Notamacropus eugenii: one gene and its partners. The protein of the gene in region 4 purifies or fractionates together with the protein of the main gene of each other region. This does not show direct contact. Links are inferred from orthologs where the notes say so. Each region holds a gene or a part of one and is shown on either strand. Other genes may lie near its edges. The genes, in order: polyadenylate-binding protein 2, KPNA2, EIF4G1 and NCBP1.

The links.
Region 1: the proteins of NCBP1 (region 4) and polyadenylate-binding protein 2 purify together in Homo sapiens (co-immunoprecipitation; 3 studies listed by BioGRID and IntAct, with this or other methods). This does not show direct contact. The link is inferred for Notamacropus eugenii from reciprocal best matches to the Homo sapiens genes NCBP1 and PABPN1.
Region 2: the proteins of NCBP1 (region 4) and KPNA2 purify together in Homo sapiens (co-immunoprecipitation; 5 studies listed by BioGRID and IntAct, with this or other methods). This does not show direct contact. The link is inferred for Notamacropus eugenii from reciprocal best matches to the Homo sapiens genes NCBP1 and KPNA2.
Region 3: the proteins of NCBP1 (region 4) and EIF4G1 purify together in Homo sapiens (affinity purification with western blotting; 3 studies listed by BioGRID and IntAct, with this or other methods). This does not show direct contact. The link is inferred for Notamacropus eugenii from reciprocal best matches to the Homo sapiens genes NCBP1 and EIF4G1.

The regions. Positions count from the first base shown.
Region 1 is NC_092878.1:9,833,269-9,840,768, reverse strand, and holds the start of polyadenylate-binding protein 2, read left to right. Parts: upstream 1-4,451; 5' UTR 4,452-4,606; coding exon 4,607-4,957; intron 4,958-5,075; exon of another isoform or gene 5,076-5,202; intron 5,203-5,292; coding exon 5,293-5,407; intron 5,408-5,588; coding exon 5,589-5,656; intron 5,657-5,785; coding exon 5,786-5,892; intron 5,893-6,048; coding exon 6,049-6,136; intron 6,137-6,218; coding exon 6,219-6,370; intron 6,371-7,116; coding exon 7,117-7,156; 3' UTR 7,157-7,500.
Region 2 is NC_092873.1:327,758,806-327,766,274, forward strand, and holds the start of KPNA2 (importin subunit alpha-1), read right to left. Parts: upstream 3,049-7,469; 5' UTR 2,946-3,048; coding exon 2,779-2,945; intron 2,777-2,778; exon of another isoform or gene 2,459-2,776; intron 2,110-2,458; exon of another isoform or gene 1,795-2,109; intron 1,013-1,794; coding exon 901-1,012; intron 729-900; coding exon 591-728; intron 1-590.
Region 3 is NC_092873.1:57,030,549-57,038,182, forward strand, and holds the start of EIF4G1 (eukaryotic translation initiation factor 4 gamma 1), read right to left. Parts: upstream 3,223-7,634; 5' UTR 3,096-3,222; intron 1,474-3,095; 5' UTR 1,416-1,473; intron 1,257-1,415; 5' UTR 1,223-1,256; coding exon 1,163-1,222; intron 899-1,162; coding exon 812-898; intron 493-811; exon of another isoform or gene 355-492; coding exon of another isoform or gene 322-354; intron 1-321. Other genes in the region: PSMD2 (26S proteasome non-ATPase regulatory subunit 2), read right to left, coding at 5,334-5,516, 5,630-5,748, 6,253-6,379, 6,516-6,610, 6,737-6,905.
Region 4 is NC_092874.1:314,403,749-314,411,368, forward strand, and holds the start of NCBP1 (nuclear cap-binding protein subunit 1), read right to left. Parts: upstream 3,064-7,620; 5' UTR 2,911-3,063; coding exon 2,877-2,910; intron 1-2,876. Other genes in the region: TSTD2 (thiosulfate sulfurtransferase/rhodanese-like domain-containing protein 2), read left to right, coding at 3,940-3,954. UniProt on the Homo sapiens protein: Component of the cap-binding complex (CBC), which binds cotranscriptionally to the 5'-cap of pre-mRNAs and is involved in various processes such as pre-mRNA splicing, translation regulation, nonsense-mediated mRNA decay, RNA-mediated gene silencing (RNAi) by microRNAs (miRNAs) and mRNA export.

The DNA of each region.
Region 1 (7,500 bases), on a different chromosome or scaffold from region 4:
TCCAAACTTTTGCTTTTGAAAGCTGTGTTCCTTAGAGGAATTTGTAGGGGAGGTGACAGACATTCTGCTGAGACTGTACTGGGTGAGATGGTATCATGAGCCAGAAGGCACTGAGTCAGTCACAGTTGGTTAGCGTGGAGAGGACAGTTAGCACTGACTTAACAGTGACAAACCCAGACCAACTAACAGCTCACAACTGGAGCGTGTGCTCCTCTTCCCTTACAACGCAGCTCTTTCCCCCACCCTCTACCACAGACTCCTAACCTGTGGCCCCTGTTAGCTCCCTTGGGGGTCTTTAATAGCAGGGGCACCAGGACCCATGGTCAGAAGGACAAAAAACGCACTGCTCTAAGGCTCCTGCCTCTGGATGGAGGCAGGGGTTATTGGTTTAAAGGGGAGGATGCTCAGACTTGGTCTCTGGAAGCATGGCTGCATGGGACCACAGTGGGCAGTTTTGGCCAGACACTCCTTCTGGGGGCAGTGGAATCCCCTAAGATCTTTCCTTCAGAAAACCAGGGACTTTTCTATTTGGGGCTGTTCAGTTCCTGGGGGTTGTCTCTTAGCCAAGCAGGCTGAGTGTGACTCCCTGTTTTTAAGTCCATTTCATTAAAAGTAGGGGGAAACACATTTAATTGCCATTTTCTAAAGGATAAACTTGGTGGAGAGGCTGAGGGGAGTGTTTCTTGCTCCCAAGAGCCCAAAGGGGCAGGTGGGAGGCTTTGCTTAGGCCATGGGAGGAGTGGAGGTGGGGCAGCTAGGTCCTGAGAGTGCTTTTCCCACTTCCCACTTCTGCCAGGACATACATTATTTTTCTTTTTCAAGTCAGAAAACAATGCGAGAACGGATTTGGTTAGTTTAGAAGAAAAGAAAAAAGCTCTATAAATATAAATATATATTCATGTATTTTTATTTAATAATTTATAAATACTGGGTTCATTTGACTTTTATTTTTGTGTAATATGTAATGGTCGTATTAAGAAATAAAATCCAGAAGTTTAATGAGGACTGAACAGGGTTGTGACTTCTGCATTGACAACTGGAAGGATGGGGTGGGTGGGTACTGGCCTCACTCCCAAACAACTTTTTGTGATTTTGTTAGGAGAAGGAATTAGGGCAAGAGGGATGTGGGAAGTGCTCCAAGTAAGCTTCGGGGTTTCTGATTAAGAATTAATCTAGTAGGGCCTCTCCTTCCATCCATATGACCTAAGCCAGTCTTTCTTGGACAACAAGGGCCTGGGCAAGTCCTGGCCTTTCCCAAGCATACTTTTCTGTCTCATCCTCTCCTTCCCTGCCACCTCCCTTCACCCCCAGCTATCATTCTCAGGCCTTAAACTTCAGTTTGGGGGATTATTTCTGCTTGAATGTTCTGTTGAGAGTCAGAGTGGTACAGCAAACAGCTGACTGAGGCAGCCAAGTCTGGCTTTTGTTGCATGCTCTTTGTGGCTTTGGGGAAGTCAGCTAACCCTCTCAGTGGCCCAGGAAACTCTTGAGACTATAGGTTTCAGAACAGTTATCCATCTGCATTACCAACGAAATCACAGTCTGGATTACAAAAAAATGCTGCTGCTTGTTTTATATTAAATTCAGTTATGAAAAAAATAGAGTTTTGTTCCTTCTCCAATTCCCAGAATCAATGGATCCTTGTCATTCTACATGTAAGCCATAGACTATACATAGTCTGTTCCTCTGCTTCTACACGGGGCTTTTTCAAAACCATTTCTGACAAAAATCGAATTTCAAAAATCTTCAGACAACAATATTCCAGTCTTTTATGTAATATAGTGTTACCCTCCCCCGCTCTGAAGCTCTGAACATTCATCCTCATTATAGTTAGGAAATCCTTTCATTTGTCTCGACTGCCTCTTTTGCCTCCCTCATCAACTCCCCCAAACTTCAGATTCCAGCCAAGTCTTCCTGCATCTTTCCTTCACTCCTTCTTGACCACCTGCCTCCTCTTGCCTCTTCCCAGTGTTCAAACTGTTGCTTACAACAACCTCCCACTGTACATCTGACCAGCTCTATTTCCAGTAGTTCAACTGTCACCTTTCTACCATCTCAGGATCTCTTCACTTCCCCAGAAAGTGTTTATTTCTCGCCATTAATTGTTGACTTCAACAAACATTTGTTAAGCCAAGTCCTTAATTAATATGCTAGAAGTTGGGGAAACAAATATGAAATAAAATAGCCCTTATACTTAAGGACCTTGTAATCTAGTAGGCAAGTAAAAATTTCATGATTATCTTTTTGAGGTTTTTCATATGGTGTTGACTGCACTAAAAGTAGTATCTAATGAGGTTGTAGTACCATACATTCTGTGCATCCATTGTGTTTCTCTCTGATACAAACTCTTTAATACGGAGTGTGAGTAAAAACTTTTCCAAATTCATTATACTCTTAAGAGAGGATCTGTTTCAATATCAATGCATTTCTGCTTTCCCTGCTTGCTTTATACTGTGAACTCCTTTGTTTAGACTGGTTTGCATCCTTACTCAAGCCTATAGCTAAGGTCAGTTTTATTCTTAGGTTTTAAGGTACATGCTCAGTCAATCAACGTTTGCCAGTTGTGCTAAGCTGTTCAACTTGATGAATTTTGTCTTTGTATGATATTTAACGGACTTTATTTCTAATCTCTTCCTTTACCATCCATATCATCTTAGTAGGTCTTCATGAGTGTAGGCAGGGCCAAAGAAAGTTCACTGGGTGGTCAGCCTTCTGGTGAGGAGCCTCTTGGCTAGAGGTCTGTCTGGTTGTCAGACCCATTCTGAAAGCCTCCTGCTTTGGTTAGACCTGCCAGAGCCCTGCTCTAGTCACAGTGTTTGGGAAGCCTGGCTCAGCTCAGTGCCACCGGGCCCAGCTCAGTGCCACCGGGCTCAGCTCAGTGCCACCGGGCCCAGCTCAGTGCCACCCGGCCCAGCTCAGTGCCACCGGGCCCAGCTCAGTGCCGCTCGGCTCAGTGCCACCCAGCTTGGCTTGGCTCAGTGCCACCGGGCTCAGCTCAGTGTCACCCGGTTCAGCTCTGTGCCACCAGGCTCAGCTCAGTGCCACCGGGCCCAGCTCAGTGCCACCCAGCTTGGCTCGGCTCAGTGCCACCCGGCTCGGCTCAGTGTCACCCGGTTCGGCTCTGTGCCACCGGGCTCGGCTCTGTGCCACCGGGCCCAGCTCAGTGCCACCCGGTTCAGCTCTGTGCCACCGGGTTCAGCTCAGTGTCACCCGGTTCAGCTCTGTGCCACCGGGCCCAGCTCAGTGCCACCGGGCCCAGCTCAGTGCCACCCGGCTCAGCTCAGTGTCACCCGGCTCAGCTCAGTGTCACCCGGTTCAGCTCTGTGCCACCGGGCCCAGCTCAGTGCCACCGGGCCCAGCTCAGTGCCACCCGGCTCAGCTCAGTGCCACCCGGCTCAGCTCAGTGCCACCGGGCCCAGCTCAGTGCCACCCGGCTCAGCTCAGTGCCACCGGGCCCAGCTCAGTGCCACCCGGCTCAGCTCAGTGCCACCGGGCCCAGCTCAGTGCCACCCGGCTCAGCTCAGTGCCACCCGGCTCAGCTCAGTGCCACCCGGCTCAGCTCAGTGCCACCGGGCCCAGCTCAGTGCCACCCGGCTCAGCTCAGTGCCACCGGGCCCAGCTCAGTGCCACCCGGCTCAGCTCAGTGCCACCGGGCCCAGCTCAGTGCCACCGGGCCCAGCTCAGTGCCACCCGGCTCAGCTCAGTGCCACCAGGCCGCCCTGCCAGGGCTCTGCAGGATGAAGGCATTGTAGGCCGTGCTGAGGTGAAGCCCTAGGCCCAGTGGGCACGCCTCTGAGAACGCTCGGGTTTAGCTCTGCCAGGTCTGCGTGCCGGCTCCGTACTGCGAAGAGGGCGGACTTGGGCAGGGAACGGGCCGCGTGCCTGCCGCACGCCAGGGGGCCTCTCGAGGCCTTCTCGTGGTGGCAGTGGTGGCAGGCCAGGCGGCGCTGTTGTGTCCGGGGGAGGCTGGCGGAGGCCGGGGCGGGGCGGGCGCTGCCGAGGCGGCGCTCGGGGGCTCGGGCCTGGCCTCGCCGCGCTGCCCTTCTCAGGGTTCGCTTGCCCTCAGACTGACTGAGGGAAGCAAGATGGCGGCGCCCTCACATTCGATCATATGACCCGGGGTCCCGTGCTCTGAGTGGGACGGTCCGTTTGGCTGGAGCGGTCACGTGTTGTAACCTAGGTCGGAGCCCTTCGAAGCCCTGGGGCCAATGGGCAGCCGAGCTTCGGCTAGGCTTGCGGGCGGGCTGCGTGAGGTTCCGTTCCGCCTTTCGTGGTTAGCGGCCAATCGCACGGCACGGCGAGATGAGCGCGGAGGGGCGCGGCCCATAGGGAGACCGTTGGGGATGGCGTCACAGCGTGGCAGGATTGTGACCTAATGACGGGGGGAGGCGGGACCGACGTTGACTGACAGGCACGTTCCCCTACTGAGATTCGAGGATTTGGCTAGCTGCCCCGCCTTAGAGGCGTGGTCTTGTTTGACTGCCAAGTATTTCTACCCAATGGACTCCGAGCGCCCGGTGACGGGCAGGCTGCTTGACTAATGAGCCCCCAGCGTGGCCGGCGCGGCTCTCCAATCGCCGGGCGGCGGGCCCCAGTCTGAGCGGCTATGGCGGCGGCGGCGGCGGCGGCAGCAGCAGCGGGGGCTGCGGGCGGTCGAGGCTCCGGGCCGGGGCGGCGGCGCCATCTTGTGCCCGGGGCCGGGGGGGAACCCGGGGAGGGGGCCCCGGGCGGCGCGGGGGACTACGGGAACGGGCTGGAGGCGGAGGAGCTGGAGCCTGAAGAATTGCTGCTAGAGCCAGAGCCCGAGCCCGAGCCCGAGGAGGAGCCGCCCCGGCCCCGCGCCCCCCCGGGAGCCTCCGGCCCTGGGCCCGGCGCAGGAGCCCCCGGCAGTCAGGAGGAGGAAGAAGAGCCGGGCCTGGTGGAGGGCGACCCGGGGGACGGCGCTATCGAGGACCCGGTGAGGACGGGGGCTCGGGCGGGAGGTCGGGGTCATGGGGGAAGGGCCTGCGGCCCGGGGCAGGCGAGGGGCCGCCGTGGCGGAGGCCGGCGGGGGAGGGGGCGGGCGGGTCGTGGGCGGGGAATTACGCGGAGCTGGGCGGGACGGGACGGACTCGGAGTGCTGGCTGGCTGGCGGCGGCGGCGGCGGCGGGCGGGAGGCCGAGGCTGGGGCCCAGGCCGGAGCCGGAGCCGGAGCCGGACGCGGTGGGGCCCGGGCCGGGCCGAGGCGGGGTGGGGCGGGGGCCGTCCCCTCCCGGCTCGGCTGAGCCCGCTCTCCCACCCCGCCCTCCCCAGGAGCTGGAGGCCATCAAAGCCCGAGTAAGGGAGATGGAGGAAGAGGCGGAGAAGCTGAAGGAGCTTCAGAACGAGGTGGAGAAGCAGATGAACATGAGCCCCCCCCCAGGCAATGGTGAGCGGGGGGGGGGGGGGGGGGGGGGGGGGGGGGCGGGGAGGGGGAGGGGCGGGGCCGCCGCCCGTGACCTTGCGCCCTCGCCCGCACTCCACGGGCCTGGGGAGGGCCTTTAATGCCCGGGGGGGGCGCTGGAGGGGCTGGGGGCCGCTGGGAGCCGGGCATCGCTCGTGTTTTGTAGCCGGCCCAGTGATCATGTCCATCGAGGAGAAGATGGAGGCCGACGCCCGCTCCATCTACGTGGGCAACGTGAGTGGCCGCGCTGCGGGGCTTCGGGGAGGGGGCGGGGCCCGGCGGGGGGGTGGCACCGGGGGCCTCCGCCCCCCGTGCCAGGGCTGGGGCCCGGCCTGTGGGTGAAGTGGGGCTCTGTGTGCCCAGGTGGACTACGGCGCGACAGCGGAAGAGCTGGAGGCCCATTTCCATGGCTGTGGTTCCGTTAACCGAGTCACCATCCTTTGTGACAAGTTCAGCGGCCACCCCAAGGGGTGAGTGGGGGGTCCCCGCGGTGCGCCCTGGGCAGCGCCGACAGGGAGCGTCCTGCCCTCTGTGCTTAGGGTGGCAGGGGCCCCCTGCGGGGAGCTGACGCGCCAGCCTTGGGGGTGAGGGCACGCTGAACGCCCGCCTCCGTGTCTCCCCTCCAGCTTCGCTTATATAGAATTTTCAGATAAAGATTCAGTGAGGACGTCGATGGCCTTGGACGACTCTCTCTTCCGAGGAAGACAGATCAAAGTGAGCGCTTCCTGCCCCGGTTCGGGAGGTCTCCAGGACCGAGGGCTGCCCCTAACCTGCCTTGGCCTTTGCGTTGGCTCAGGTGATCCCCAAACGGACCAATCGACCGGGAATCAGCACCACGGATCGGGGCTTTCCTCGTGCCCGCTATCGTGCCAGGGCTACCAACTACAGCAGTTCACGCTCTCGATTCTATAGTGGCTTCAACAGCAGACCCCGGGGCCGAGTCTACAGGTCAGGATAGATGGGCTGCTCCCGCCTCCTTCCCTCTGGGCCTCGTGCCCTCCTCCCTAGAGGAGCTGCCAGCCTGGGCTGGGGGGCAGTGGCGGGGGGAGGCGTCCCTCCTAGGCTTGTTAGTAGGAGGGCTTCAGGGGAGGCCTGGGTCGAACCGGGTCTTAGTGCCCCTTCTGGGAAGGGGGAGGGGCGGGATGGACTTTGTTTCCCTCAGGTGGTGGGAAGGCATTGGGCAGTGTCAGTCCGAGTGGATCTGCCCAGCCCTGCTGAGGGTGCTGGAGTTAGGGTGGCCAGCTTTTGTCAGGGTTTTAGGGGTGCTCGTTCCCTTAGTGTCTGGATGCTTGTTGCCTTGAGATCCTAGGTCAGCTCCTTTACTTTAGTCTCCCTGACGTGTCTAGGGGAAGTTAAGCATCCTAGTGAGCCCCTAGGAGCTCAGAAGAGCTGCTGTTCCTGGTGCCTGGAGAGTTGGGGAAGGGGCTGGGGGGTGATGGGGAAATCCCCTGCCAGGGCAGCAGGAGCGCTTTTGGGGAGAGTGTTTGGAACCTGAGCCTGTCCTCAGTCTTGTTCTCGCTCCTTACTGGGCCGTGCTCTGGGCAGCTTCCCCTCCGCTGGCATGTGCCCTCTGGTGGGACCTGAAGCCTTTCCCCTGAGAGGGAGCTGGAGTTGGACCAGGAGGACCAGGGGAGGGGGCTGTGCTGAGGTGTCCCTTAACCATGTTTACACCCAACTCTCCTTCTTTTTTCTAGGGGCCGGGCTAGAGCGACGTCATGGTATTCCCCTTACTAAAAAACACAAAAAAACAAAAAAAAAACCAAACCAAAAAAACAAAAAAGTGTGTATTAGGAGGAGAGAGAGGAAAAAAAGGAAAGAAGGAAAAAGGAATTAAAAAAAAGAAAAACAGAAGATGACCTTGATGGAAAAAAAATATTTTTAAAAAAAAAGATATACTGTGGAAGGGGGGAGAATCCCATAACTAACTGCTGAGGAGGGACCTGCTTCTGAGGGTCTGGTCAGGGCAAGGGCCCCCCCCAACCCCCGGGGAATGGGACAGGGGGCTGCTCATTCATTCTGGGGGTTCGACATGGACAAGTCTCGACTTCGAAAGCTGTTCCCTACCCCTCTCCCCCCTG
Region 2 (7,469 bases), on a different chromosome or scaffold from region 4:
GAGGAAATTATGACCACCATTTAAAAAATTTATGGATGGCATGAAGAAACAGGATACGGGACAGGTAATAAGAATTATTTTGGTCTGAAAAATCTTACATGCCCAAAGTTTGTACCCCGCCCCAAGAAGGGCAATGGAAATATTAGAGTAATATGATTTTTCAAAGTATCTTACAGATCTGTTTGACAACATTCTACTAGAGGTAGAGAGTAGTTAAGTGGCTATAATCTCCCAACTCCTGCCCACCCTACCCAAAAGAAAATAGGGCAAAAAGTAGAGAGATGAAACACTTTCCCACAGATGTTGGGAAAGGGACTATCAAAAAAACAAACTAAAAAAACAAAGATGAGGTTAATACAGGGTGACAAAAGGATTACACTATCCCTCAACAGCCAGTTACTGAAACCATTTTCTGTCATATCAAGCCTGCTACTTCAAGAAGTAAGAATGTCTAGGTTTCAGGAACAATCATAGGCCAATTCATACAGGGTATAAGTCTTTTCTGAAGATTTACAGATTATATAAACAAACTCCAAAGAATAAACATCATATGTGCAAAATCTGCTGGAATTAAGAAACGGAGAATTTACCTGGTTATTTCGGTTTTCTTGCAGAGGAGAAGTAGCATCATCAGGAAAAGTGCTGACATTTCTTCTTTTCAGCATCTGGTCATCTTTTTTAGCTTTCCTCAGTTCTACGTTCACTTCAATACGCCGGCGCCTCATTTCCTTGAGGAAAATAAAATCAAAGTGTTTTTGGTTTTTTATCCACAATCATCTTCTGAATTATCTAAGACAAATTTAGGTTGCCTTTAAATTCATTTCAGCATCCAAGAACTCTCCTTTCTCCTCCACCCAAAAAAATTATCTAGAAAATAACAAGATTAAGGCTACTACTCACTGTGCTGTCTTTTCCTTTGTTCTTAAATCTATTAAGCCGGGCAGCTGGTGAATTAGCATTTTCATTGGTGGACATGGTTGTGTTCAACACTGGGAGAAAAGCAAAGAGGGAACTGAAACAAAAAAGAAATTTCGATGCCTTATAAGAAATCCAACAGGATTTTATTGTATTAAACAGTAATTATTACTTCAACCAAAGGAAAAAACCAGCACTAACATAGCAATATGTCAACTACCAAAGTATCATATTATATATTATAAATATTTCTACATGCTTGCTTCATTTTTCTACTTGTGGTTACCAGACAAAGAATGTACCATTCAATAGGAACCACAGCATAGCCAGCAAACTATATGCATTAAAACTATGAAGTACTCCAGTTCACAATAAATCTATATTAAGCACAGCTTAGCTCAATGCCTACCTGGTACACAGTAACCTCTTAATAAATGCTTGTTAACTGACAGCTAAGTGATAAGCTGCCAGCAATTAAACCCTAGCCAGTCTCTCCATTAAATGTCCCTTACACCAAAATATTATTCTATTTCATTTAAGTAGTCATAACAGTACAATTTTAGTAAATTTTTGGACGTTTCCCCAAACAAATGACATTTCAAATTTAATTTTTAAAACAATTCAAGAATTTAAAGTTGGCAAGCATCAATTTGCTCCTACCTAGCTATGACATGTCCTTTAGAGAAAGACAATATTTAAGGTTTAACATTAAGGGTCCTCTCGCAGCTTAATTGCAAACACAAAGGTGTAAGCAGTTACAATCAAGACCTTCCAGATGCGATCTATCAATTACTTCATGACGTTACTGATTAAGCACTCACTATGTGCCAGGCAGTACGCTAAGTGCTACGGATATTAAAAAGGCAAAAATACAATTTCGGTCCTCAAGGAGTGCAGGTCTTAATGGGAAGACGACAACAACCAGCTGCCTGTTCAGCATCGATAATGATAGATCATTTTTTTAGATGGAAGGCAGGAAAAATCTCTTTAAGGTGGGATTGATTAGAAGCCGAGAAAACGAAGAGAGTGAGGGGCTCCTTTCCTGAGCTGGGGGCGAGGCCGGTATTTAGTAAGAGCCCACTAAATACAGCACGGATTACAGTCAGGGCCCAGGGTGGCGGGCCCAAGGTGTGGCTTAGTTGTCACTGAACCTCAGGAACCAACACAGACTTCACGCCCTGGGCAGGCCGCAAGGTTAGTACTTCCGACCCTTCCCTAAACCAGACGCTGGGTGGGAGAAAGAGAATATTCAGGAGCCCTCCCCTCCCCCACCTTCCCTCCGCACCCCGCTCCCAGAGACCAGCTGGGCCCTAAGCGCTGTCGTCGGAGAAGCTCGGGGGAGGCGACACCGCTAGACACAAAGGCCTGGGCATCCCGGTTGTCGGGGGAGGGGGAGGGGGAGGGCGGCGGGCGGCGGCCCATCTAGCAGATAGGCCCGGAGATCCGAGGAAAAGAACACGTCACGCTTGGGCCGAGGGTCGTGGGAAGCCCACTCCTCTGCAGCGTGCCCCCCTTCCCCAAATAAACTCGGCTACACACGCACGCGCGCTCTCGCACACTCTCACTCCGCAGCCCAGGCGGGGGGAGCGGTTGAAGTAACAGAGGCCGATCTCGGACCTCCGCTGCCACCGGCCGCCCTCGGCAGAGTGACCCAGAGGAGCCGGGTTCGGGAACGCTGCCGCTGCCACCGCGGGGACGCGCCCGAGCGCGGCCCGAGGCCCAGGGCCCCAACCAGGCCCTCCCCCACGAGGCCTGGAGAGCAACAGGCGATTCTCCCACACCCCTCCCTCCCGACAGCCTCGGAGTCAACCGTTTCCGGCCGGCCTAGTCTCCGCTCTCGACGGGCGAGAGAAAAGAACTCACGTTGTAGGAGGTCGCCGGGCCCCGTAGGGGAAGCGAGAGGAGGTCGCAGCTGCGTCACGGTTAGACTTCCAGCAACCACCGCAGCTCAGCCCCGAAAGCCGTGTGGCGCGTGAGGCCCTCCGGCGCGATTTAAATTTCCCGGCGGTCCGGAGCTCCCATTGGCTCATTCGAGCCCAAGCAACGCGACCATTGGTGGATTTGAAAAACACGAGGCTGGGTGGTCCCAAGATGGAGCCTGCAGAGGGAGTAGTCGAGCGAGAGGGCGGGGGAGTGGAGAAGGGAAGAGTTCTCGTGAGATGAGGGGAGAGCAAAACCTGCGTATACATCCCAGAAGTCTTTGCAGCCATGCTTTGGTAGAGGGATGTTTTAATGTCTCCAAGTGCTGGGATGGCGGAGGGCCTTCATTCTTAATCAGTGAGATCTGTGCACACTCTTCGATTTTGGGGAGCTCTGCGATTTATCGTCAAGTCCATGGCAAAGATTAAGTTGTCGCTGTGTGCCCGGACCAGTGCTAAACGTGCAAAAAATATTTTAAAATAGTTTCTATGGGCAGCTTGGACAAATGATTGTTTTCCACGTGCTTGCTTCAGGGAGGTCTCGTCTCTTAGATTGTAGGAGATTTCGAATTTTTTCGTTTTAGAAAATCTTCAATTTGTATTTTTTGGGGGGCAGCTACAATAGATGCTGTGTTGTAGGAGGCCTCTAACTTTTTGATCTGAAGGACCTTAATTTCCCAAGGACCCCCAAAACTTTTTGCTGTAATATTTATGGATATTTATTGTATTAGAAATTAAATTTTTAAGTGTTTAGTTCATTTGGAAATGTGAACATTAAGAATTTTTTATATGAAAAATAACTTTTCCCATACATTTTCTGAGAAGACGGGCCGTTCTACATAATGTTGCAAATCTCTTTAATGTCTGGCTTAATTGAAGACAGCTGGATTCTCATATCTGCTTTTGTCTTCAGATTGTTGCATTATATTGATTTGTTTGAAGTTCATACTACATAAATATGTAGTTGGAAAAGGGAGGGGCATTTTAATAGCCAAATAAATGTTTTAGTATTATTATTATTAGTAGTATAGTAGTATTAGTATTATTATGAAAACAGTTTTGACTTTAAGGGACTCTTTAAGGAACTTGGACTCAAAGACCACACTTTGAAAAGTGCTGTTGCCTGATCTTCCAAAGCCAAAACGGAATGAGGCAATTAACTTTCAAATAAAAATCTTTCATTTGAGATTGTAAAGAAAATCCCGACAGTCATAGGTATTGCCACAGTAACTAGGACGTTGTCCAACAGAGAGGTGACTTGAATATCTCTGCGGCATTTAACACTCACCCTCTCCTGGATAGTGACTCCACTATGGCATTTTCCTGGTATTACTCTCTCTCTCCCACCTCAGTACAAAGCCTCCAGAGGTCATCTAGTCCAAAACAATTCTTAGTTCTTAATTTTGATAGTGGATAGGGAACCTGCCTAGAAGCCAGGAAGACCTACCGGCTGTGTGACAAGTAAACCTCTCAGTGCTCTAAGTACCTTTAAGGCTCTAACTTGTTATATTGGTCGGCCTTTCCTCACCCAGGAGTTGGCTACATTAATGTGCCTATATAGCACAAATTAAATCCAAACCAAATGCTATTAATATGACTGTAGTGGAACTCAATTACAATTTTAACTCATTGTTTCTTAATTTTTGAACCAATAAAGGTGTTGAAATTACCACTAAGAGACCACAAGTTCTCACACAGCTGTTATAAAAGTAAAGGGGAAAGCCTTGGATCTTAAGTCAAGCTCTGCCATTTGCCACCTCTGAAAACTTGAAAATGTCACAACTATTTTCAAATTTCATTGAATCATTTGGATTTTTACCAAATCATTGTTGCCAAACCATTTTGGAGCATACTTATACCCAAGATTTTAGACCTATTGCATAAAGAAGGGCAAAGAAACAAGCATTTATTAAGTGCTGGGCTACTTTGTAAGTGCTCTAAAAATATCTCATTTGATGCTCACGATAACTGTGCAAGGTAGGTGCTATTATCCCCATTTTATAGTTGAGGAAAATGAGGCAGATGATATTGGATAGTTTTACAGTCTTTTGATTTTAAATTCTAGTATTTATTTGTTATCTCATGGAGTCACCGGTGTCTATGATCAAATCTAATTTTCAAGGATTCTGTTACTGAGTAAGATTTTATACTTCTTGTATTAAACTGTTCTACTAAGTTCTTTTCTCTAGAGTTCCCATTCCTTTTCCTATTCTTAACTCTAAAGCTCTTATTTATATGATCATTTTTAAACTTTTGCTTTAGAATCACTGTTTGACAAAAACTGCTAGTAAAACTAGCTAGCAATATACAGACAATGGGGTATAGAAATCTATCTTGCACTATACAATAAAGTAGAAGGGGATGGGGGCTGTTTTAGAAGGGAGGGCAGAGTAGGGGAAGGGATAATCAGAATGCACACCATCTTGGGGTGGCGGGAAAGGGAGGGAACTCAAAATCTTATGGAAGTGAATGTTAAAACTAAAAAATAATTAAAAAACCAAAACTAGATAGCAGTATGATGGAAATTAGGTTTGGATCAGTACCACATACCATATGCCAAGATAACACTCCAAATGATGATTACATGATCTAAATGTAACATTTGGTCAAATCATGAATTAGAGAAGAAAGAAATTACCTTTCAGATCTATGCAGAGTGGAAGAGTTCATGACTAAACAAGCAATAGAAAAGATCACACAAGATAAAATGGACAGTTTTGGTGCAAACAAAATTAATATAGTTAAAATTACAAGAGAAATGTGATTGAGAAAGAAACTTTGCAGCATATTTCTCTGATAAAAGTCTCAAATCCTAGCTAGATGAGGAATTTATACAAATCTATAAAACTAAGAGCCATGTCTCAAGAAAAATGGTCAAAAGATGAATAGGCAATTTTAAAAGAAAGAAATCCAAGGTACCAACAACCATATGAAAAAATGCTCTATATCACTAAAATTATAGAAATGCTAATTTAAGAAACTGAGGTTTCACTTCATACCCAGTAGACTGGCAAAGATGAGAAAAAAGGAAAATGACAAATGGAGGCTTCCAGAAAAATAGGCATACTAATGCTCGTAGATGTGTGAACTAGTCCAGCCATTCTAGAAAGCAATTTGGAACTATGCCCCAAAAGTTATTAACTGTGTATACCCCTTGACCCAGCTATACCACTACTAGGCCAATACCTCAAAGAGGAAAAGAACCTATATGTACAAAAATATTTATAGGAGCTCTTTTCAAAGTAGTGGTTCCTATTGGAAACTTAGGGGCTGTCTTGTTGGGGAATGGGTAAACAAACTGTGATATAGGAAGGTAGTAGAAGATTACTATGCCATAATAAATAATAAAAGAAAATTTCAAGGAAACTAGGGAGACCTCTATGAAGTAATACAAAGTGGGCAGACCTAAGAGAATGATTTATATGACAGAAATATTGTAGAGAAAAACAACTTTGAAAGACCTTAGAATTCTAATTGACGCAAAAATAAACCTGGAGTCCAGTCAATTAATGATAAAAGGATACAACAGAGTGGTTATGAACTTAAAATGCACAGGAAAACATACATTTTGGGGGCATGGTCAATGTGGGAATTTGTTTTGCTGAATTGTTAATTCTTATTATTAGGGTTTTTGTTTGTTTAATGAAAGGTAGTGATCATTAGTGAGAAGGATAGATTATAAATCCGTGTAAAAATGATTTGGAGAGAAAGTTCTTGGTTCATTTATTTCAGAAATTCCAGAAGAGCACGTGGCAAATCTTTGATTTGCTTTGAAGTCTTTGCATGTAGACCATGTGGAATTATTCATTTTGGGGTTTATATCTTAAACATCTCCTGGCTCCATCATAATTTTCTATCAGTATTTATTCATTTTTCCAGTCTTATTTCCTAAATTGTGACTTAGTGCAAGGGTCAAGTTCTGCAAACTCCCATATACTTAGATGTCATGTTCTGGCTCTGTTTGGTCCTAGCTGTTTTCTTTGGTTTCTTCTGCTGACTTCTACTTTTATCTGTTCTCAGAGTACCAGTAGGATTCAATGGTCTCAGAACTCTGGTTGGCTGCCCCTCCTCAGGCCACTGGGTGATTTTGTCTCCCTTAAGAATCCCATGATCAAGGTTCTTGGTTATCTCTGTCCCGATACTTGACACCTTGCTTCATTTTTCCTGTACTCTGCCACCCAAGATGTACCTCTATCACTTTCTCCATTTCTTCTGGTAATATGATGTGTAGTCTTGAATGCAACACAGATGACAATTAGATGACTTCTGTTCTTAACTAAGGGGTAACTGAATATTTCTGAAAAAAAAATCCAAATTTAAAACCAATGAAATCCATTTCTACCATGTTCTCTAATTTTACTTTTGTTGTCCACAGCCCCATAGGCCCAAATTTCTTATGTTTTTGTATCCCCAGAACTTAATGCCTAGCACATAGCAAGAGTTTAATAAAATGTTTGTTGTTTGATTGATTGCTTTTCAATGATTTTGCTATTTGACCTGCAGTCTCCACTCCAGCCCCTGCCATTTCATCCATACAAACCTTACCTATCTGCCCAGCCCTCCCTCACTCAAAAAACAGTCAAGTGCAAGTCATGTCATTATTTCTCTGATGGCGTGGTCTTCTTCGGCAACAAA
Region 3 (7,634 bases), on a different chromosome or scaffold from region 4:
CTCATACAAAAGCAGCCCTGCCTTCCCTGACCCTTCCAGGCAACAAATAGACCAGCATGCACTGCTCTGCCTCCCTGCCCCACCCCCCAGACACTAGGGAGGTGGCTTTTCACATGCAGGGCTCTTTCCCTTCCCACGACCAGAGGCTCGGTAAAGCTAAGCCCTCTCAACATGCACTACAGCAGCCCCCCTGCCACCCTAGGGCTCCATCTTGGGTGGACAGGAGGCTATCTCCCCATCATCCCCCAGGACCCTGTCCCTGCTGCCCCGCCCGTGACTGGGAGACCAGGCTATGGTCCAGGATCAGGCAAGAGGCATTACCTGCAGAGACCTGAATCCTCCCTGAGAGCACATGGGGACAGGAAAGAAGAGAATTATCCCCCAGGTGGCCAGGGATGGAGTGAGGAGAATAGGGAAAGAAGCATCCCTTCTTAGGAGGAAGGAAGCAGGGGAGAAAAAATGGGGCTCCTCTCCCCCATGGGCTAGAGTGGCCACAAGGGACAATGACCAGAGCTACTGCGACCACCAGGAGAAGAGAGGAGACAGAAAAGATGTAAGCTCCATTAGGGCCACCCCAGGTGCACTGCTCCCAGCTCTGTGGGGCTCCCCGTTAGGGGTACCCCCATAACCTAGGCGTGTCTCCTGTGGGCACTCATTATCAAATAATGCACTGAAAAAGAATAAGGGGACACAGGAGAACAAGGATTGGAAGAGATCAGAGGCAGGTGCGAGGAGCCAGGCCCTGACCACTCAACTCTCCTGGTCCTTCCCCAGCCCCCCAAGTCCCAGCTGCCTCCCCACAGACCCTCACCTGGCGGGGCTGAGAAGGCGTGTTCATTTGGGTCGCTGGTGGCGGGTTAAACACCACCGGTGCCGTCTGCCCCGGGGGAAATGCCGGCTATAGAGGGGGAGACCAGAATTCAGCAAGAAGAGAAACTAAGGGGGAATGGAAACCACTGGGGGGAGAACAAAGTGGCTCAAGACAAGACAGCTAACAGAGCTGGGGCTGGCAAGTTCAGTTCCCCCAGAACCAGGAGGCCATGGGCCCCCCCACCAAGACTCCCACTTTGCCTCCCATCTAGGGGCTGGGGAATCCAACTGGAACTTGTTCTCCCCCCCAGCTCAGTTCTGGGCCCAGCCTTTCTCTACAGTCCCCCATTACCTGGGGGAGTCCAGGGGATGGGGCAGGTGGGGGGCCTGTGGGCTGTGGAGCTTTGTTCATTTCATTTGGTGCCACATCAGGGTCCCCCCAGCACCTGTGAAGAGAGGGGGGCGTGTGTTCAAAGAGGCACCAGGGAGGGGATCTAAGGCCTTGAAGCTCAGTCCCTAATAATTAAAGCTAGGGTCTCCCACCTTTGCAGGTTTCCAGACCACAGACAGGAATCTGAGCCCAGCCCCAACTGCCCCTCACTCACCCCCTCGGGAAACAACAAATCCACGCTGTGGCCTACAGGCTCTGGGCATCCGAGGGGCCTAGGATTAGAAGGGGAGGGGGAATCAACCTGGCTCCAGAAGCCTAAGACCAACCGGACCAGAAATTCAAGGTCTCCCTGGCACCATGCTCCAAGAACAAAAAAGGAAGGAACCCCCCCCCCCCCCCCTCCAGGGGATGGTAAGAGACACACCAGAAGATAAATGATTTTTGCCTAAGAAAGCACGTGAAGGACAAAGTGCCAGAGGAAGCCTCGGGGAAGCCAGCTGGGGCCCAGCTGGGCCAAAGTGAGGGTCTGAATTCAGTGGGTGGGTGGGTGTCCTGGACACAGGAGTTCAAAAGAGGTGGTGGTGGTGGTGGGGGGGGGTTTATCAGGAAGAGGTCCAGAACCAGAACTGACACTGGTTCCTACAATGGAGAAGAGAGGGAGAGAGTTTGAAGGGAAGGTCAGGAGGCCTGCCTGGGGTTCCTGAGAGAAGCCCTGAGGACATACTAGTCCTAGGAAAAGGGGAAGAGCAAAGAGACTGGGGGGATAGGGAAAAGGAGAGAGAGGTCAGGCACAGTGGCAGTGGCTGGCACACAGTAGGGGCTAAATAGGAAATTCCTGCTCTTACAAAGGGAGGGGGTGAACGCCCAGCATACTTTAGGGACCAAAAAAGCAGTGCTTGATCTTACATAGCAGAGAACACAGGGGAGGACCCCAGTGCCTGGCACACAGTAGGTGCTAAACAGGAAAAGACTTGCTCTTACGGAGCAGAGGCCAGCAGAGAAATGGGGCTGCATGGCCTGGCACACAGCAGTGACAGATAAGAAGGCTTCTTACAGAGCAGACAGGAGGGAGGGGAAGAGGGTCCCCAAATGCCTGGCACGCGGTGCTTGATCTTACAGAGTAAAGAAGAGAGGCTAGGGCCCAACGCCTGGCACGCAGTAGGTGCTGAACAGCAAAGATTTCTTTACAGAACAAGAGGAAAGAAGGGGCCTTAGTGCCTGGCACACAGGGAGGCTGAGCAGGCAGTGCTTGATCTCACAGAGCCAAGAACACGGAGGGGGGACCCCAATGCCCGCACACAGTAGGTGCAGAACAGGCAACGCTTGCCGGGGGGGCGCGCGGCCCGCACACAGTAGGTGCTGGGCTTCCTCTGGTCGAGCACAGGCTGGAGGAGGGGGCGGCCGGGCCCGCACCCGGGAGAGGCAGAGGAGGGGAGCGGAGAAGGGAGCGGGTCGACCAGCCGGGCCGGGGTCGAGCAAGGCCTAGGCCTGGGCCTGGGCCTGGGCCTGGGGCCGGCCCGGGCTCCTCCCTCCCGAGGCGGCGGCGCCAGAGAACAACGTGTCACTTCCCGCCCCGCCGCCCGCTCGGCCCCGGCCCTGGCCCCGACCCCGACCCCGCGCTCCGCAGGCTCGGCCCCGGCCCCCGGCCCGGCCCCGCGCTCGACCCGGCCGGCGGCCGGCACACGTGGGCTGGCAGGGGGCCGGGCGGGCGGCGGGCCGAGTTGGGCTGAGCGCGAGGCCGGGACCGGCCGGCCCGGAGGGAGGGCGGGCGGCGGGGCGGGGCCGGGCCGCGCTGGGCCCGGCGGCAGCGGGGCCGAGCGGGCGGCCCCGGGCCGGATGGCGGCGGATGCCGGGGGGAGGGGGCCCGGCTCGGGCCCGGACATGGCGCCGTTACCTTCAGTCTCCTTCAGTCCGCGCGGCCGAGCCCCACGCAGCCGCACAGGCGCCGTCCACGACCATTTCCGGCTCCCGCACACCGCTCCGGCTCCGCCGCCGCCTCTTCCCCGAGGCGCAGGCGCAGGCGCAGGCGCAGGCGCGGCCCGGCCTGCCACGTGACTGCCGCGGCGCAGGGGGCTGGGTGGCACCGGCCGGGGCTGGGAGGTGGCCCGCCTGCGGCGTGTGTCGTCATCGCCGTCACGCCGGCGTCCCCCCGCTGCCGCTACGCAGAGTCTTCCCCGCCCCCAGCCGCGGGGGCCCTCGTCGATCACGTGGAGCCCGCCGGGAGGCCAGAAGTTCCACTCTGGCTCAACCGCATTCCTCTGTCGGGGGGGGCCTTCGGAGCCCCTGGGGGCCGCCGCGGACCAGACCCTGCCCTCAGGAGCCACTCCGGGCTGTCGTGCCCCCTCCGCCGGAGGAGGTTGGCGCAGGCTCCCCCAGGGCCCCCAGGTCACGAGGTCCGGGAGCGCCGCATGGATGGAGTGTCCGCGTCCGCGTCCCATCTCCACGTGTGGGCTGAGCGCGGACCGGAGGAGCTGGAGGAACTGCCCCAGCCCGTGCCCACCCAGCGTGATGCCCCCCAGCGGGCCTTGTCCCGTCCCCTCCGTGGCAGAAGGTAAATGGGCTTCTGACCACGAAAATCCCTGGCACCGGCAGGTGGCCAAGCACCCAAAGCTGATGGGATTTTATCAGCGGAAGTGACACGAAAGAACAGGCGCGAGGCCCAGTGAGTCCTGGGGACCGCACCCCCTTTCCTTCCGAAGGACAGCGAGCCCAACGACGTGCTAGCACTGAGACAGCCCCGAGGAAACGCGGGACGCACGATTGGTTCTGGTGGGCCTCGGTGGGGCGCCGAACTTGGCTGTATCACGGTGATGCCATTTGGGCCTCTCCCACGAGTACCCACCAGCTGCCCGTAGGAGGCTGCTGAAGGTCTTTTGGATTGAAAGTTGCGGGGAACTTTTAAGGTCCGAGGAGAGCAGATAATAGCGGAGCATAAGAGAAGGGGTCAGGGAAGGGCAGGGGCAGCCAGGTGGGCTGGCGTTAGGAGGACAGACAGGTACTAGCTGTGTGACCTCGCCCTGTTTGCCTCAGATTCCCAACCCCAGAGGCTTACTCTCCCGGAGGTGGCAGAGGTCAGTAGAGTTGGACTGTAGGGAAAGTCAAGGCTAGGCTGTCCAACAGTGACCAGTAGAAATGGAGACAGGACCAAGAAGCCCAGTTTGCTGCTGGCCCGGTCTCATTCTCTTTAATGTTCTCATCACTTGACCTACACAAAAACACAGCAGGGAACCACAGAGTCAGCAGAAAGGGCCCGGAGGTGGGGGACCATGGATATAGGAGGTAGCCTATCGTGTCCAGCACAAATCCATGTGTTGGCTGATTTTGCTGAGCTCGCACTTAATCTGCTACAGGGCAAGGCTGCCTTGCACCACGGGGAGCAAGAGCAAAAGAGCATCCAGAAAACTTTTCTTAGCTTTATGAAAACGTGAAATTACAGTAAGAAAGTCTCCGCAGCCCATCTGTGCTGATACCCTTGTGAAAGCACACACACAGGCCTAACTCCTAAATACCCAGTGGGCTTTCTTATTCTCCACCACACTAAGAAATGTGGTTATCTAGTTTTTAATTCCACTGCAAATCAATTAGGGAGAACAGCTCCAACAGAGCTACCCACAGATTGACATCCTGAGTGGCGGAACCTCACTGGGATGTAGCCTCCATTTCCATCCCAAGTGGTGAAAATAGATTTCCTGCTCCCCTGAGAGCTTGCGTACAGAAGCTGTAGAAAACACACACACGAACGAAAGTAAGCTCTTTGGAAGGTAGGTAGGAACGATTTCATTTTCCTTTGTATGACCAGTGCCTGCCACACAGTAATGAATTTAATGAATGCTTAGTGACTGATGAGCTAAAGAAATAAACTTTCAATTGTTGAAAAACTTGGTGATCCAGAACATTCCTTCCAGCCTGTGCCCAGGTACCCTCATCCCCAGCTAGCACACCCCAGGAAAAAAGACATTAATGAAACAGAGGGCACAAGGGTCTTTAATTCAACATAGTCATCTCATTCTGTAACAAAAAAAAACAGGAGGGAAACAGCTTCCCCCCAAGGGCTGTTGGAGAGCCACCTCTGGAATAAGGAGTATTGCCTAGTCCCCAGACTCAAGTTAAAATTTAGGGCCCCCAGGGCCACTCAGACATCATAGTTGGGGTTCTTCCTCAAGATTACGAAGCCCTCCAGGATGGGAGTGACAGGCAAAAACTCCTCAGTGGCTAGCTCAGCCCGTTCCCCATGAGCCAGCAACACTGGAGTTGTGTGTGTCTGGAATCCGGTGATGGTCTTGGGCTTCCCAGCCTGGCCCACCACATCGACTGCCTAAAGGATAAAAAATGGAGAAAGAGTCTTAGAGCAGTGAATCCAGTAGCCCTCCTGCCCTGCAGAGGTCCAGAGGAATGGCTGCCGTGTTCCAGCCCCTGAAGATCTCTCACCTGGCCCACACGGACAGATACTGGCAACGGCCGGAGCTCCTCATCAAAGGTGACCAGCATTCGGGGCTGCATGGCAGCCACCAACCCATAGAGCACATAGTGGGACTTGCCCAGAATGACTAAGAATGAAATAGAGAGGGGCAGGTGACCAGCTTTCCTCCATCCACTCCTAAGCTGCCTCAGTGGCTCTAGCTCAGCACCCCCAGCTTTCCCCAACCCACCTCCTCCGTCTCGACGCTCCTCACTCCCCAAACTGCCTTATGCTCCCCAGGGCTGTCATTCTTTCATTCTGCCCACACTCTGCTTGCTCCCCTAACCCTGAGGTCACTCTGCCTGACTCTTGAAAGGTGGGGAAAAGTTACCTAAAACACCAAATACAATGGAATTAATGGCCAGTCCCTCACCCCAGAAGCCAGCCAGTCCCACTGTAGCCCAGCTAAAGGGAGTCAGGCCTGGGCATAAAACAGTACAAGAGTAGCCCAAGAAAAGCACAGCTACGCCCCAAGACCCACCCAATGGTCAGAACCTGAACATCCAGGTATCTCCAAAGGAGCCCTAACATCTTGGGAGAGTTGCCCTGACGCTGAGTCAGCCCTTCTAGGACTTTTCCAAGGGGCACTCACTGTTGCGGACATCGAGGAAGGAGACGAGCACGGTGAGCAGCCCAGCCACAGCAACCTGACTCATAAGCTGCCGATCACTGTGGTAGGGGCAGAGAGTGAGGGTGCCCTTCCCCAAATGTGTCAAGCCCTGTTTAGGATACAGGGAGGGTCAGGACTCCAGCAAGACCAGCCAGCCAGAAAGCCTGATGGTCTAGGCCCAACATGTATACAACCCACCCTGCCCCCACACCTCCAGGTCTCTTAGAGAAGAGCACCCCCCTCACCTGGGCCAAGCGGACCATGAAGAGGTTGTTTGGGTCCTTGGCATGGTACTGGGCTAGCTGGCGCAGCATGGCAGCCAGACGAGCATTGTTGGTACCTGAGAAGATGAAGCAGCAGAGAGGGACTCCTGGGGGCAGGGATGCTACACAGAGTTAGTCATTCCCCAAACCTGGCCCAGATGCCCCCTTGTGCCCAATACCTGCCTTTCTCTGCTGATACTCACCACTGCCCACCATGCCCATGGCAAATATGGAGTTATAGGATACCTCCGGGTCAGCATCATGGGAGAATTTGCTTAAGGTGTCCAAGATGTTGAGCCTTGGGTTGGAGACTGAGATCAAGGCCAATGCCAGAGGTACTGCCCGGCGCAGCGTGGGCTCCCCATACCTAAGCTGTATGGTAGAGGATATAAAAAAAAGTCAGAGGGAGCTCGAAGAGAGAGCTCCCATCCCAGCACCCACAGGCTCTGATCCAAATGTGTGAGGGCCCCTGGGGGCCAACAGGGTAAAGTCAGAAGAGAGGGGCTTGAGCCCTGGCTTTGCCATTTCTTGTCTCTGAGCCTGGGGGGTAATCATTCACCCAAGACAGTAAGTTCCATCTTCTGTAAAATAAGGGAACTGCAATGACTGATAGACTGTGATACATGAATGGAATGGATGTGAGTGAGATGAAGAACTCAAGGAAAAGGGGGAAGAGACAAATAATTTAAAGAGGATCTGAGAGCCCCTGCAAACCCAAACCCTTGACAAAAGCCCTGCTGAGCACAGTATGTAAATAAGAGCAAAACCTGAAAAGCAACTGGGAGAGGAAGAGGTCAAGGGGAAATGAGGAACAAGGCAGTCTGCACTGGGAAACAACCCTGTGGGCTCCGATCCCCAAGCCAACCAAAGAGGTCTGGGGCTTCGCTATAGCCTTTCGCTCTGTTCCAGAATGTGCACGTGAATAGGTATTTGCACCTCACTAAACTAACAAGATTTTGTTATAAATCTAAAAGCACGGGTCTGATCCAGGCTCCTTAGGCTTTTCCCAGTTCCCATCCCTTTTCACCATTGCTGTGTGGCCCAAGGGCGCGCACAGGGCAGAGTGTACACACTTGCGTTCACAATGAAGGCCTCAGTGAG
Region 4 (7,620 bases):
ACAAAAGTTTCAAGAGAAGAGAAAGATGCCTTTGATTGTGTAAGGCTTTAACAAAACTAATCATCTTTTTCAAATTATGCTCTCCCTCACACTAACTGAATGGACTCTAGTCTCTAGTCTTCATAAAGTTAAGCTATAAAGTCAAAAAACATTTAACTCAAGGTGGATGAAATCTATTTAGTATTAATTAGGCAGAAATTAGGAGTATGAGCCAAGTATTTTCTAAATATGTTTCTGTTTTTTTCTATGAACTTCAGTCATTCATCTCTCCCCACATTTCCCGAACTTTTTTCATTCTGCTTATGACAGCCTGTCCCTTAATCCCAATCTATATCTATCTGAGACACAGTGCATGCAAAGGCAAAAGTGGGACAATCTCTCTCTTTAAGAATCAACTGAGGTATCACCCTCTTCATGAAGAGTTCCCTGATCCCCCCAGATGAAACTGTTCTGTTCCTCCTCAATTTTTCCTAGAGTATTTTGAATTCATCTTTCCTTTATTCCTATTATGCTCTACCTTGTATTATCTGTATCTATATAAACAATATCTTTTCCTCCAGCAGAAAAAGTTCATTTAAGACAGGGGCTATGTCATTTTTCAACCATGTATCCCCAGTTAAGGGCAGTTTCCTACACTTAGTAGGCACTTGAAATGTTTTTTTTAAATTAAAATGAGAATGATTTACAATATATATTTGCTATGTTAAGTGATGATAGGTTTATAGTTGTATATTTCCATTTAAGACATATTTTTTTCATGTTCACATCTCTGTGGGAATCTCCTTTTTTTAAAAAAAAGTGGTAGTGAAAAGTATCAACTTGAAAAAGGTGTAAAAAACTAAAGTTCCCTCCAGAGACAAAAATAGGGATTACTCTTATGCCAATGTAATTTAATTACTGTGCATGTTACATATTTTTTAAAAACCACATATTTAGTGTATTTAATTACTTGTAAAAGACATGAAATATACTTCAGTGGATAAATATACTTAGCAGACAGTTTCAATCAATTGTAGCCAGAAAAATCATCATTGGAGTGCTCAACCTGAGTGACTCCTCATTTACCTATGCTTGTCCTCATCTCTGGGACTACATTCAAAATCTTTCCAGTTTGACAGGGTACGATAAAGCCTGGCATCCACTGACACAACTTTTGAAAATCCAAGGAGATGGACTTTAGCAAAATACAGATTTGCAGATCACCTCTAAATTTGCTCATTCTGACAAGATCTCTAGTTCAAATGAATAAAAAATGTTACCTAAGTTCATTGTCAACCTCTCTGATAAAGAGAACAATCACATATTTATTTCAGAGCACTACAGAGGAAAGGTATGGCAAAAAAGATTTTAAACTGTTGGAGATCAGATGATCATACTTCATCTTTCTACTTCTAGGCATCTAGCACAACAGTTAGCACCAATCAAATCCAGATCTAAGATTTCATCCCTGCAGGGAGATTCCAATAGCAAAAATTCTCTCCTTGAACCAAAACTAACAGGTAATTATTTCAGCTACTTTAAAAGTCTTAGAAGGTTGCCTGGCACAACTTACCCAGAGTCACAAAACCAATACCAGTCACACACAGGATTTGAACTCAGGTCTTCCCAGACTCTGAGACCAGATCTTTATCCTGGAGGTGTGGTAAGAAACAACCCTTAATAAATATTCAGATTCACAGGCACAGCCACCTAACTTTACATAGTAAGATGAACTGCCAAATGTGACAAAGGTATTAAGCAGCAGATTTAACCCAGGTTGTCTGGATCCGAAGCTATTAGCTCTTTCACCTGAACCAAAACAAATGAAATGTAAAACACTAGTCCCTTCCAGAATCATATTGCATTTCAAAATGCATATTTTAAAATAAATCTTAGTTGTTAGATTAATACTATTACTGTTGTTACAGTCACATAGAACATTTTCTGAGATTTTTACATTTTTATGAGAAACTTCTGATACCTGCCTAGTTATGTTACTGCAGCTTCAACAAGTCTCCATAATATGTATTTCCCTGAACATGAATTTGGAATCCTGCTCTGAAGAATCACTCAGGGTCTTGTCCTTTCCCTCTAGAGACTACCAATAAAGTTACAGAATTCTGTTTAAAGAGCGCAGCTATGATAGGTGTCACACGGTGAACCTGTTGCCCATCCTTTCTAAGTGTCCACAAGAGAACGCCCCTGAAGACAGACAGCTCTGTCCACAGCAGGGGCTCTTAAAGCCAGTCAGTAATGCTGTTGTCCTTTTAAATCCTTCGATAACCACATTTTCAGATCACTGGTTTCCTCGGAAATCCTCCTTCATGCACTCAAAGACGTTATCTGAAAAAAGGTCCACAGGCCCCGAAGGAGCCCACGACGCGCACGAGAAGGTGAAGAACCTTCATCTAATGAGTGATGCCAGTTTCATATTTTTTGGTTAATGCTCGAAATAAGAACAAGACGTGGGTGAAAGTCAAACAGGCCCCTCCTGCTCCATCTCCTGATGCGGACCGAGGTCCTGGCTCGGGCAGCCAGTGCTGGGAGGTGACGGGGCGTGAACCCCGGGGGGTCTCGGATAGATCTGCGTTTATCAATAATGGCTAACGTTAGCACAAGACTTTACTACTTACAAAGGCTTTACGTATATTCGCCCTTGATCTTCACAACAATGCTGAGTACATCCTAAGTTATCACGCCCACTTACAGACGGGGACACTGAGGCCCCAGCGGCCCTACGTCACGGCTGGGAGCGGCGGAGGCCGCGCTGGAAGCCGGGGCTCCCGGACCAGAGGCCTGCAGCGGGATCCCGGGAGCGGGCCGGCTCCGCAGCCCCGCGCCCGGCCCGACCTCCCGGCCGCCCGCCCGGCCCGGGCCGCCGCCGCCCGCTCACTTACCGTCGTTCTCGTCGCTGTGCCGCCGCCGCGACATCCTGCCCGCCGCGCGCCCCTCCGCCTCCGCGGCCGCCGGAGATCGCGGGAAACCCGCGCCTTTCGCTTCACGGCAGCGGGAAAGGGCGGAAGCGGCGAGGGGAGGGGGTGGCGAGGCGGCGCGGGGAGCTGCGGGCCGGCCTGCGGCGCTGACGCACACGCACGCTAGAGCTCGCGCGAGCGAGGCGGGCGTGGAGGCTGGGGGAGGGGAAAGAGGGCACCTCCCGTCTCCACCGTCCCGAGGACGTCCCGTCAGGGTCTCGGGAGGCCGGGCGGGAGGCGTCGCGTGTGAGGGAGCCTGAAGCGGGAGAGCCCAAGGGAGCGGCCCAACAAGGCCGCGGAGCGAACTTCCGCCGCCTTCTCTCTCCCCTCCCCTCCTCCCGCTCCTCGCGCTTAATCTTCTTCCGGGAGAACAGGGAGCGGGGAGAGCCAGTTCCTAGAGCGTCGGTCCCGGCTGGGCAGGCGCGCGTCTTAGGGAAAGGGCGGGGGGAAGGGAGGAGGAAGGAGTCTCGGCCAGACGCTAGGCCGCGCGGAGCCGAGGTGGTGACGCTCTGGGCCTTCTGTGCCACTCGATGGTTCTCCCGACTGCCCTTGCGCCTGCCGGACGTAGGCGACGTCTGGGCTGAGGGGCCGTCTGTAAAGTACCGGTCGGGAGGAGAAACGTGCCCGCGAAGGGCTCTCGGGGGACTGCGTGTTCCGGTGGTTGCTAGGATAGACGGGCCCGCGGGTGGAAGCCCCCCAAAGACGGGAGCCGGCCAGGTAGGTACTTCCTGCGACCTCCCGGGTGTTCTGTTGACGCTTCGGACCCCTCCCCTCCCCCCGGGTCAGTGCGCGTGGCACGGGGGCCCCCGGGGGGGTGGGCCGGCAGTCCTACCCCTGAGAGCCATAACTGACGTTGATGGCCGGCCTGGAGACCGGCAGGCCTCGTTAAGGCCTTCCTCTCTAAGGTGGGGGTTGTTCAGTTCTGTTTTACGGAGGGGGAAACTGAGGCAACTCTGAAGAACTGAAAACGAGTGTGAACAAAAGAGGAATGGAAAGTCACACGGTGTGTGCACAGGACGGTGAGCCTGGAACACCGGGGTGAAGAGAAGACACTGGCAGCCCGAGGGCCCTCTGCTGGCACTCTCTGGCAGTCTGGAGGGGGGGAAGGCTGCAGGTAGTGGCTCAGAGGCTGGAGCGCCGGGCCAGAGCAGGTCACTCACCCGCTGGAGAAGCCCCGGGGGGCCATGGCCGAGCTGTCCTGCTGAGTGGCCAGCCCTCTTGGTGTGACGGCCTCCAGACCTGTGTGTCCGGCAGTCTGTCTGCCCTTCCTGCTGTCAGACTTCAGCTTCAGTGTAAGGCCTGCATCCCCCCTGTGTCACCGAGCTTCTGTGTTTGAAGTAAAGATGCCAAGGCCTGTGGGTGGCATGCACCTTCTTTTCTGGGTCTTCAGAAGAGGCAGGGTGGCAGCACCCACAGAGGCAGCTGTCCGGTCCGCTCCCCCCCTTGTGATGGTGGACTGGCCTAGAAGCCAAACTAACACCAGCTGGAGGTGGTACATGCCAGCTGTGCCAGAGGTCCTCAGGCCCAGGGTCCTGCGCTGCCTCTGCCAGGCTTGGAGGAGAGGTGGTTTTTGTGCCTTGGCTCTCCTTCTGGATTCGTTAAGTTACCCTTTCACTTGCCAGCTAGCGTAGAGGACCCTTCCCCCTTTTAGAGTCCGTGATTCTCCCCTTTCCCTCGCCCACCAGAGTCTGTGACCCATCTGGCTTTAGCCCGGGTCAGCCGAGCGAAGAACGAAGAATGGACTAAGAGCTGGTGGTGAACGATTCAACGGAACCACAGGCGGTGGAGTCTATGAATTAGGGAGGTTTCCTAGCCTCCTAGCTGAACCCAGTGCTGCCCATAGAATAAGAGTGTGTGAACAGGCTGACAGGAGGGCATGATTCTAAGCCCTGAGAAGCTCATCGACATCCTGAGGCCCAGGTGCTCGCTTCTCCAAAACAGGATAGTGATGAGGAGTAACTTCCTTTCAGTGTGTGTATAAATACGTGTCTTTATGTAAGTAGATTTTTTTTTCTGTAAAAGAAATAATATAGGGGGCGGAGCCAAGATGGCGAAGTAGAAAGACGCACATACACATAGCTCCGAACACACAAACCACAGAATGGCTAGAGGGGACCAAGCCAGGGCGAATTCTGCACCCAGAGACCACAGAGTATTGGAGCGAGGGAGATTCCTGCTCCGGAGAGACCTGCGGACCTCTCGCGGGGGGGGTCCTTCACGCCGCGGACTGGGCTCTGGGACGAGGACCAGAGTATGGCCCTGCCGCGGCCACGACACTGAGGGGAGGAGATCCGAGAGGGCTACGGGGATGGGATCTCCAGCGGCCACGCGGGTCCCCACAGAGGGACCTGCAAACCTCTCGCAAAAGGTCCGTTGCACTGCAGATGCAGAGCCCAGCCCGGACCTGCGGCGGCGGCATCGGCGGCCACGGCTCCAAGACGCACAGATCTGAGAGGGCTCCAGAGGCGGGATCTTCAGCGGCGGCACGGGCCCCCCCCCACCAACAGGTGACTGAAGGGGGTGGGTGAGAGAGTCTCGTTGGCGGGTTGAGAGGGGAGTGGGGTGCCCCCAAGGCTCGGCCCCCCCCCCGGGAGGTGGGGGCTGAGAGGCAGCTGCGGACGGGGGCTCCCCAAATGGGCAGGAGCCTGGATCCATTGTGGAAGGTCTGTGCATAAACCCCCAGAGGGAACTATGCCTGAGAGGCGGCCCTGCCCCTGACCACCTGAACTTAATTCTCACACTGAATAGCAGCCCTGCCCCCGCCAAAAATCCTAAGGCGGGAAGCAGCATTTGAATCTCAGTCCCCAAACGCTGGCTGGGAGGACCAGGAGGCAAGGTGGGTGTGAGGAGAACATTCAGAGGTCAGGCCACTGGTTGGAGAAAATGCCAAGAAAAGGGAAAAGAAATAAAACTATTGAAGGGTACTTTATCAGAGAAAAGACACTTCCTCCCTTCCTTTCTGATGGGGAGGAACAATGCTTGCCATCAGGCAAAGACACAGAAATCAAGGATTCTGTGTCCCAGCCCACCCAATGGGCTCGGGCCATGGAAGAGCTCAAGAGGAATTTTGAAAATCAAGTTAGAGAGGTGGAGGAAAGACTGGGAAGGGAAATGAGAGGGATGAGGGAGAAGCATGAAAAGCAGATCAGCTGCCTGCTAAAGGAGAACCAAAAAAATCTTGAAGAAATTGGCACCTTGAGAACTAGCCTAACTCAGCTGGCAAGGGAGGTGCAAAGGGCCAACGAGGAGAAGAATGCTTTCAAAAGCAGAATTAACCAAATGGAAAAGGAGATTCAAAAGCTCACTGAAGAAAATAGATCTTTCAAAACTGGAATGGTACGGATGGACGCTAAGGACTTTTCGAGAAAGACAGATATCTCAGAACATACCGCGCAGATTCGAAAAATGGAAGATAATGTGAAATATCTTATTGGAAAAACAACTGACCTGGAAAATAGAATCAGGAGAGACAATGTAAAAATTCTGGGACTACCTGAAAACCATGATCAAAAGAAGAGCCTAGACATCATCTTCCATGAAATTATCAAGGAAAACTGCCCTGAGATTCTAGAACCAGAAGGCAAAATAAATATTCAAGGAATCCGCAGAACACCGCATGAAAGAGATCCAAAAAGAGAAACTCCTAGGAGCATTGTGGCCAAACTCCAGAATTCCCAGGTGAAAGAGAAAATATTGCAAGCAGCTAGAAAGAAACAATTCAAGTATTGTGGAAATACAATCAGGATAGCACAAGATCTGGCACCCTCTACATTGAGGGATAGAAGGGAATGGAATAGGATATTCCAGAAGTCAAAGGAACTAGGACTGAAGCCAAGAATCACCTACCCAGCAAAACTGAGTATAATACTTCAGGAGAAAAAAATGGTCTTTCAATGAAATAGAAGACTTTCAAATTTTCCTGATGAAAAGACCAGAGCTGGAAAGAAAATTTGACTTTCTAACACAAGAATGAAGAGAACCATGAAAAGGCGAACAGCAAAGAGAAATCATAAGGGACTTACTAAAGTTGAACTGTTTACATTCCTACATGGAAAGACAATATTTATAACTCTTGAAACATTTCAGTATCTGGGCACTGGGTGGGAGTACACACACACACACATGCACACACGCACACATACATAGAGACAGAGTGCACAGAGTGAATTGAAGAGGATGGGATCATATATTAAAAAAAAAAATGAAATCAAGCAGTGAGAGAGAAATATTGGGAGGAGAAAGGGAGAAGTTATATGGGGCAAATTATCTCTCATAAAAGAGGCAAGCAAGCAAAAGACTTATTAGTGGTGGGATAAAGAGGGGAGGCAAGAGAAAAACATGAGGTCTACTCTCATCACATTCCACTAAAGGAAAGAATATAATGCACACTCATTTTGATAGGAAAACCTATCTCATAATACAGGAGAGTGGGGGACAGGGGCACAAGCAGGGTGGGGGGGAGGATGGAGGGGAGGGCATGGGGAGGAGAATGCATTACGCGGTCGACACTCATTGGGAGGGAAAGGACCATAAGAAAATAGAAGTAAAGGGGGACAGGATAGGATGGAGGGAAATATCATTAGTCCTATACAACACAACTAGTATGGAAATCATTTGCAAAACTAAACATATGGCCTATATTGAATTGCCTGTCTTTCAAGGGGAAGGG